2 linked regions of the Oryzias latipes genome follow. The protein of the gene in region 2 purifies or fractionates together with the protein of the main gene of each other region. This does not show direct contact. Links are inferred from orthologs where the notes say so. Each region holds a gene or a part of one and is shown on either strand. Other genes may lie near its edges. The genes, in order: tsen15 and clp1.

Region 1 (4,606 bases), on a different chromosome or scaffold from region 2:
CAGAAGCATACCACCGCAATGCTCAAGTTTTCTCAAACTGGTTTGAGGAAAATGAAGATGGCCCTCCATGGTGAACATACCCCCGGCCGAGCCCAGTCTGTGGCAGGACTTGATATCAAAATGAGCTCCTTCAGTGGATACAATTCATATTTGTGCAAAAAGCAATGAAAAGCTTTTTATTAATAGCTTTTGTTTTTCCAAATTCCTACATTTGGACATCTTTCATCCGCCTGTGTCTCATTATTGTAATCTGTTTTAATGTAGATCCGCCTCCGTTTTCTAGAAGAATAAAAGTAGTTTCAGTTTTTGTCCCTCAGGCTGACGCTGTTGTTTTTCCTTCAAACAGAAGTCAGAGTTTTTGAATGATTTTGACTCGTATCCCTTTCAGAAATGTTCTGAAACATGTGCGTTGTTTAGTGAGGCTGTTGAACTGCCCCCACCCAAATATATATATATATATATATAAATATATATATATACACACAAAGCCATTTTGTCTACAGGCATGTATGACTAAATAAAAGCCTTCCTTATATGAGAAAGAGCAGAACAGTTTCTTTCTTGGACACTTTGCACAAGCTTTCTTGATAAACTCTGACAGATGTGCATGTGCAGATTGCACAGCTTTCTACAAACCATGGAGGGGTTTTAACTGACAGAAGCCCAGACTGCAGCAGAACCTTCTCTGCCCCATCCATCATCACTAAGACCTACAGTTTGGTTTTTCTTTGACTGGAAAGCAACGTTTTTGAGGCACTTAGAAAAGATTTAGAACCTTTGGCTCCCTTTTCCCCATCGGTGTTCTGCAATTTAAATACACGATTGAGGCCTTGATGTCCACTCTGAGAATCAAAAAGTTATTTTCTTATCTGCATCCTCATAATTAACAAATACAGAAAGGGAAAACTGAAGGGAAGTGTGCATTTACGGATCACAGCTGGTTTAGATCATTTCTGCCTGAGAGGTTGATCAATGCTGCCAGTCAGGGCTTTGTAAAGCTTTATCTTTTAAGTCTGCAGGTTTCGTTTTCCTTTTTTATGGATACGGTTTTGTTTTCTACTAAAAGAATTAGGGAGACAGTATTCAAGTCAAACAAACTGTTTACTTTTTTTTTTTTTTACATCAGAGTGGAGTTTAATTCCAAACAGCAAAAACGAATCTTCTCATCAGAACCGCAGGCACTGGACTCCAAAAGTTTTGGCTTTCTGCTCATCAGAATCCTGGAAAAACACTGTCATGGCAACAGAAGTGATCGACGTGCTTCACAAACAGGCTGGTGAAGATGCGTTCGCTGACATCGGTAAACGGCAAAATGACTTTGGTTTTTGACTACTCTGAATAAAATAGCAGCTCTGTGGGAGAGAAGTCTGCGGTGTCCATTTTAGGGATCGATGTAGGTCTTTCAGTCCACGGTGGAAATGCTTCCACATATGTACCCCTAGAATGATTCACATTGCTCCAGGATGAACCCATCAGCTCCGTTTCAAAACATACGTTGATGGCAGCCAGTAGCCCGTCAGGTAAAAAACAACTTCTTCACCTTTTACCCCTCATCTTCTCACTGTGCTGCTGGAAGCTGTGCTGTCGCCTCTTGCGATGCTGCCGTCGATCCAAATCCTGAAAGGGGCCCACAGGGGGCTCCGGGGTCACCAGCCCATCCGTCAGCCTCTGATAGACCAGGGTGGAGTCCGATGCCACGGCACACAAAAGTACGGGGAAGCCCCTGTCCAGTACGCTGCAGATGCTGCTCAGGAGACAAACAGCTGCATGTCACAAACCCGTGAGCGACGGTTCAAGTCCCAACTCTCATTTGGTGACTCATCACCTGCTGTGGCTCAAGGACTGATGAGCGGGCAGGGGGAGGACAGTGTGAACCGGGGCCCCATCCTTCTCCTTCCCTTCCAGCAAGATTAATCGCAGCTCCGGACTTTTGACGGACGACACCTCCTTCCAGCGACGCACTATGTGAAACCAAATTCACTTTTTATAGTTTGACACCTTTTACTTTATTTTATTTTATTCAGATTTTAAAAATCTGAATAAAAAAAAGTTTAAATTAAATGAAAATTAACTGAATTTTGATATATTTTGATAAATTACTGTAGTTTTCTTGTTTTTGTTTGGAATGCATTTAAGACACTAATATATTATTATTAATAATCAGAAAAATAATTCAAAAAAGTAACAAAAAAATAAAGTATACACATGTGAAAAAAATCTGAATAAAAAAAAAGGTTTAAATTACATGAAAATTAACTTTTTTTAATCTACAAACATGATTTGGGATTTTTGAACCAATTAGATGTACAACTAAATACAAAATTACTTTTTACAGAAGAAAAATCAGCTTATTTAAAACATTGTAAACATCACAGGGTTTCATTCAAAATTTGAATTGAAGCTACTTAGAAATGTTTGAAGGAATACAAGCAAAATCCACAGTCATTCTAATGCATTTTAAACTTAAATTAAAACTTGTTAATAGCCACTTCTGTACTTTGTTATCTTTGTACGTATTTAAGCTCCCTTTATATTTAATGAAACATATCCAGGCTTCATCACATCACCCTCAGTCAGATCCATGCACACCAGAAAGGCAGCGTGCAGCTGCGCGCTGTCTGCGGGCTCCAGAGCCTCCATCTGCCGGTACTGAAACACAGGCAGGCCGCCGTTAGTTCCGCTCACAGCGAACCTTCACGGTCACGTTACTCCAAGCTCCAGGCCGCTCACCGCAGGGTGCTGCAGGATCCAGTTCGCGGGTGGAGCTTTCTCCACCGGAGGTACTGACATCTTTCAGTGTTTATCCTTTAATACAACTACTTGCGCACTACTATAACCGCACGTTTTCGCTAGGAAGGTTGAGCTTTAATTTTTAATGGGTACTACAATAAATGTCGACCGGATGGGAACACGCTCCTTCCTTTATGTTCCGCACCCCAATGAGGCGTGGAGGACCTTTTTATTTCAATAAACGTTATTATACGTTTTTCAATTTGTAGAAATTCACATTCAGCAGCACGATAAAGAAACAATTGTTAATATCAAAAACACATATAAGACCAAACAACAATAATAGTTTAAGCCCTGTGTGTGTGTGTGTTTTTTCTATAAATGGTCATATACAAACCAAGTTAGGGCGCTCAAACGCAATAAATGCGCATGTAGAAAAACAAAACAAAAAACAGGCAAAGGCAAGGCAAAAAACAATTCAAAATAACAATACTTTTGTTATATTTTGATAAATTACTGGAGTTTTCTTGTTTTTGTTTGGAATGCATTTAAGACACTTCTAATATTCAGAAAAATAATTCAAAAAAATACTAAACAAAGGACATGTATTTTACCATTTCCATAAATTAATGAAATGTTTGCATAGAATAATAACAACATTGATGACATCAGAAATTCCCGGGTCCAGATTTTCCGTACAGAAAAAAACATCAGGTAAGGAAAAAAGAGAATCATTAAAACTTTGTGTAACCAATTGTGAAAATCAGTCCAACATATTTTTATCTGGTTGCAACTGTAAAAGAGATATTCTAACGTTTCAGTTTCAGATGAACAGAACATGCATGGTTCCGATTGAAATTTAAATCTTTTATGTAAAAAATCTCCAACAGGGTAAATTTTAGATATTATTTTAAAATGCGTTTCTTTCATTTTAGGTGGATGTGGGTACTTTGTGTATAAAGAAAAGAGTTACTAATTTATTGTGGCATTTTTTTTATCTTTTAGGGGAATATCATTAATTTTCCGCTCTAAAAATTGTGGTTTGGTTGCATTGTATTGTAGTATGTTATGAATAAGATTGAGTGAAGGTGTGGGAATTGCTTTACAGACTTTGTTATAACAGTTACTAGAATCCTTCATTTTGTATTTAGTTACAAACTCATTGTATGATAACAGCCTTCCATCAGTGCGCATCAAGTCATAGACAAATCACACACCATTATCATACCATTCAGACATAAACAAGGATTTCTTGTTTACAGTTATAAATCTGTTTTTCCATAAAACAGTGTTGTGAGGGAAGAAGTTATGAGTGAAAAGCATCTTCCCAAATTCTAAGGCATGCTTGTAAAAGTTTGATGGTTTCATTGGCATTTTTGATAGATTATAATCGCATTTCAACAAAAACTCCAGTCCCCTGACTTTCTCAAAGAGTTTGTTTGGGATATGATACCACATAGAATGAGGCTGGGAAATACAATCTTTTAACCATTTCATTCTAAACGCTACAATTTGTGATTTAAGGTCTAAAGCTTTTAAGCCGCCATTTTTATAATCTCTGACCAGTTTTGGTTTTCATATATAGTGAGTCTTATTTTTCCAAATAGATTTAAGGAGAATAGAATTAGACAACTTGATGTTTTTTGGGGATGTACATGATGAGTGGCAGGGATACACAAGTCTTGAAAAAACCTCCGCTTTGGATAATAGAATGCGGCCAAATATTGATAAGCCAAGTCCCAACCAATGATTTCATGTTTTCTATATTGTTTTTAGTCTGGGAGTAATATTTACACTTTCTCTATCGTTACTGTTTTTTGTTATTATTAGACCAAAATATTTCACTTCACTTTTTACATGTATGTTTTCAATATTA
Region 2 (4,606 bases):
ACTTTTTTTATTTAAGGAACTGAAAAAAATGACATGACAGATTTTGCATTTGTACATAAAAGTTTAAAAATATGTCATCATTTACAACAAATTGCTGAGGTACTTTGTTACAGAGGTTTTTTACAAAACACCAAAAACTTTTAAACAAATGCACCCATCTCTCCTCACTTCAAGTATGTTCTGCATTACTTCATGTCCATAAAGCGTATGTCCATGATAAGCAGAGTGTGTCTGGGGAGAGGTCTGGGTGCTGGGGATAACACTTTCATCACCTGTGTCTGAGTGTCAACAAAAGTTACCACAATAAAACCACACACAGGAATCTCCACAATGCTCTTTCTTGCACCTTCGTCTCCGTCGTCAACGCTGCTCACGCTCAGAACATGGTACGTCAGGTCTCTCCCTGGTGTGACAGGCACCAGCTTTAGCTGCGTATCGTCCTGAGACATCCCTAGAGGTAAGCACGAGTCTGGGATAGACGGTGCACCAATTTTGTAAATGCGGACGTCAGAGAAGCGCACCTCATAGGAAAAGGGGTAGTAGGACACTCCACGGAATCCATAGAAATACTCGCGGATCTTTTCATCCCTGGTGTCCCGCCGGCACTCTTTGGAGCGCTCCACCACCCCCCCAGACTTGGGCAGAAGTACAACTCGCACAAAGTGGGGCAGGTCGCGTTTAAGCTCATTGTAGAGCCTTTCGTGGTCCAAAACCAGCACCACATCCACCTGAAAGGTGGAGGCACAGTGGACCAAAGCCTGGTATCCTGAACCCTTCACCCAGCCGCAGGTGTTGATGATGCAGCCTCCTACGCTGGCCTTCCTGTTTACCTCACAGCGCTGGGAAAACATCTCAGCGAGGCAGGATGTCAGCTAACCACAGTGATAAAAACACAAAAGCAGTAGAAAATAACAGCATAAATGATGACAGCCAATGACAAACATAAAATGACTGTATATCTACAATCTTCTAACCTTGTTATAAAGTTTAATGTTGGTGCCTGGAGTGGTGGAGCCAAAGTGGTAGACCAGAGGAGCCTGGACAGAGAAGCCCTCCTCCACATCCGCCGGCCGTTCAATGCACAGCGCTGACACCGTCCCTGGTACTGACACCTAAGAGAGAACAAAGTTTAGTCACACCTTACTGTAAATTCATTACACAATGAAATCTGAACTGTTCAACATTTACATTGCAGGTTTACAAAGACAAATAATCTGCATCCTACAAATAAAATAATGTACTTTTTGTAACAGGAAACAAAAAAAAAACTAACAAATGTACTTGCAGCAAGTCATTATACAGAAACACATGTTACAACAAGTAACAGTTCAACCATCTTAGAAGTACAATAGCTAAAAAAAAAAGAAAGAAAGAAAAAAAAGACCAATGAGCAACAAGATTGTGACTAGTGTTTTGGTAACTCCTTGACATTCAAAGATGATGCCTAGAAAACATTGAAATTAGTCATTGATGTACAAATATCTCAAACACACATTTTTGATTTATCACTGAAAATATGCAGTTTTTTTATATGAATAAATGAAACCAAATACTACTTAGCATTATGGATAACAGAGGACAAGACGATTAATTTTCAGAACTAACAAGTGATAACAAGCTTTGTTTCTTAATTTAAACCATTTACATTGGGAAAACTTTAAAAACTATAAAGATTAGGTCTGCACAACTTGTCTTATACTATCTAACACCATTCCCTGGACTATAGTAGCGAGGTTAAAACATTTAAAGTTGTGCAACTTTAAATGTACTTACACCACTTTGTCCAACATCCAGTTCCACAAGGGTTGGTCTCCTGCCAACCCTGACAGCGTAGTTGAGAAGCATTCGACACACTGTTGACTTCCCTACATCTGTGGGACCCACCACCATCACCTGGAAAGCCAGCAAATATGTATTTGTAATACAAAATATACAGAGAAGTTACATTTATAGGGGGGGATTTTAGCCATCTGGCTGCTCCTCACCCTTGGTCCCCTCTCATTTTCCCGTTCTGCTTGTTTTCTCATCTGTTCCAGGGCAGCGTGGGTGTTCAGGTAGAGCAGCATGGGAGTATCTTTAGACACATAGGCCACCTGAGGTTAAAAAAAAAATAATAGGTGATGTTTCGAAGTTAATATGGAGAACTGGACAGAAAAGACTGATTATTTATTTCATCCTAAACTCACCTCTGGCTTTCCATGAAGATTCACACTGCATCCTTGCCAGGTGAAAACAGCTATTTTGGATCCTGGTCCAAACACGTACTTCTTGTTGCGGTTCAGTTCTGAACCGAACACTTCAGCCAGTCCCGACAGGAGTTCCAGCTCCACTTGCTCCGCGGCCTCTCCTGCTTCCACCTCAAACCGAAGCTCGGTCTCCTTCTCCAAGTCGAATCGGGTGCAATCTTTGCCGTTAGCCGGAGCATCGTCGCTAGTTTTTTCTACAGACTCTGTTGCCATCGCTGTAGAAAGAAACGGTGTTATATAATCATAACAGGGTGCAACATGTAAAACAACAATATCGTTAAGTTAAAGGTAAATGCAACATTAATTAATAAATGGTCAAACAACACACGACAAGGCAAGCTAACTGATGATTAGCAGGAAAGGAAGAAATGTGGGGTTTTATGTCGAACAAATATAAATAATAACAGAGATCACCTAAATGTCTTCAAATTTGCTTAATGAATACAAAACTGTATAATTCGCGTCCTTATACTGATATATACAAAGCTTAAGCACAGAACCAAAAAATTGTGTACCCAGTGAGATGTTCGTCGCAGGATGATGACGTCAAGACTCTAGCAACCAATAGTAAGAAAGAACAGCGTTCTCGCTCGCTGCATTGCTGCCCCCTCGTGGTTGTGATTTATATTTCGTGATTTTTCTATAAACTGATTCTGTTTTGATTCCAGGGGCCTCATTTATAAACGTTGCGTACGCACAAAAGAAGGCGTACGCCACTCTCTACGCAATAGTTGAGATTTATAAAAAGCAAACTTGACGGGAAAATGTGCGGTCCTTCACGCAAGCTCTGACCCAGGCGTACGCACAAAAACGGATGAAATGAGAAACGGCGACGCCGTCGGCAGATGGAAGAAACACGTGAAAGTGAAAATGACAATACTGCCTCTGATAAATAACATGAAGACTTCACAAAGCAAGTCTTACAATTAACAGCCTACACGAACACCCGTTTGATCGATCAGCAGTGAAACAAACAAAAAAATCAAACAAAAATTACAACAGAAATTCAAATGAGCACATATTTGCAAAAAGAAAAGTGAAATATGTTCTGCAATATTGGCATGTTGTGCAATTCATCCTCATAAATAATATAAATAATATAGTTAACAGAACGAAATAATGTACACAACTGATATTCCCGTCAATGTGTCCGTCTGGCGGAGCAGATATAGGAGCAATCAGACAGACAGATGGATAGATAGAGAGAGATGCATTAATTCTCCACTGGGGAAAGTTGTTTTCATAGTAAAATATTTCTTCATAAGCTACAGAATTATGGTATTCATGCATATGCCTTTATTTTGTTTTATTTTTCATGAAACAATGTATGGCGTTTGTCTCGACCATTCAGAAAGCAACAAGAAATTACATTTGCGCTGAACAATTTCCCATTTCCACGTCGATTATTCCCGACATCTGTAGCTTGTCAGATGTAATTAAATGGAGGGAAATAAAATGCCCCATCACAATGCGTAATGACGCACAATGGCTGATCTTGCTCTCTTAGAAGATGTGGCAAATGGAAGAATTCGGAGTGAACGCATCTTTAGACAGCAAGGAGACTTGCTGGCAAACGAGGACGAGTGGCTTATGAGCCGGTTCCGACTTCCTCTGCGGGCTTTTGGGGGTGTGTCACCCGGTGCATCTGGCGCGTGGGTGTCCCCCTCCGCCTCAGTCACCACTCCACTTAAAAGGGATTCCCCAATTATTGCCGCCAGTCTCTCATCAGGAGGGGTCAGCTCCGGTGTCCCCCCCCCCCCCCACACACACACACACACTCGTGGCAGACACGGGTGTGTGTGTGTGTGTGGGGGGGGGGGGGTTCAGCGCTAGACGTTTTTTTGCCTCGACTTTGATGTCCGACCTTTTCTTTTTTATTTCGGGCACGGTCCGAGGTTGTGAGGCTGCAGCATTTTCGGCGTCTGCCGCCGTTTGCCACTCACGTGCCTTTTTGGCATTAGTAATGCCCACACTGTGCCCTCCAAACAACATTATTCTCCTCTTTTCCACCTCGCCAACGATAACTTCTACTTCACATTGAGTGAAGTTACGTTTTTTTGATTTTCTCTCCGTGTTTGGCATGGTTTCGCAATCAATGAATATTCATTTGTGGGCGTTTCACGGACTATTTATGGGCAACTATGGGCGTGTCATGTAGCCGCAAAAGCTGCGCAGCATTTAGAATCGGTTGTGATTTATTAAGGGAAAGATGCGTAGGATGTGCGTGCGCACGGTTTTATAACTCCGAATATTTCTGTGCGTACGCACGTCCTATGTTTCATCCGTACGCCACTTCTGACGCAAATCCTACGCAAAGTTTTATAAATGAGGCCCCTGGTCTTAACTGTGTCTGGGCAGAA

What was found.
Region 1: the proteins of clp1 (region 2) and tsen15 purify together in Homo sapiens (affinity purification with mass spectrometry; 4 studies listed by BioGRID and IntAct, counting the BioPlex papers as one, with this or other methods). This does not show direct contact. The link is inferred for Oryzias latipes from reciprocal best matches to the Homo sapiens genes CLP1 and TSEN15.

Annotation. Positions count from the first base shown.
Region 1 is NC_019875.2:13,673,529-13,678,134, forward strand, and holds the start of tsen15 (tRNA-splicing endonuclease subunit Sen15), read right to left. Parts: upstream 2,909-4,606; 5' UTR 2,791-2,908; coding exon 2,731-2,790; intron 2,650-2,730; coding exon 2,568-2,649; intron 1,962-2,567; coding exon 1,826-1,961; intron 1,745-1,825; coding exon 1,541-1,744; intron 318-1,540; exon of another isoform or gene 1-317. UniProt on the Homo sapiens protein: Non-catalytic subunit of the tRNA-splicing endonuclease complex, a complex responsible for identification and cleavage of the splice sites in pre-tRNA. It cleaves pre-tRNA at the 5' and 3' splice sites to release the intron.
Region 2 is NC_019868.2:14,103,971-14,108,576, forward strand, and holds clp1 (polyribonucleotide 5'-hydroxyl-kinase Clp1), read right to left. Parts: upstream 2,852-4,606; 5' UTR 2,762-2,851; intron 2,754-2,761; exon of another isoform or gene 2,661-2,753; intron 2,462-2,660; 5' UTR 2,460-2,461; coding exon 2,187-2,459; intron 2,094-2,186; coding exon 1,986-2,093; intron 1,894-1,985; coding exon 1,774-1,893; intron 1,113-1,773; coding exon 975-1,112; intron 873-974; coding exon 186-872; 3' UTR 42-185; downstream 1-41. UniProt on the Homo sapiens protein: Polynucleotide kinase that can phosphorylate the 5'-hydroxyl groups of double-stranded RNA (dsRNA), single-stranded RNA (ssRNA), double-stranded DNA (dsDNA) and double-stranded DNA:RNA hybrids. dsRNA is phosphorylated more efficiently than dsDNA, and the RNA component of a DNA:RNA hybrid is phosphorylated more efficiently than the DNA component.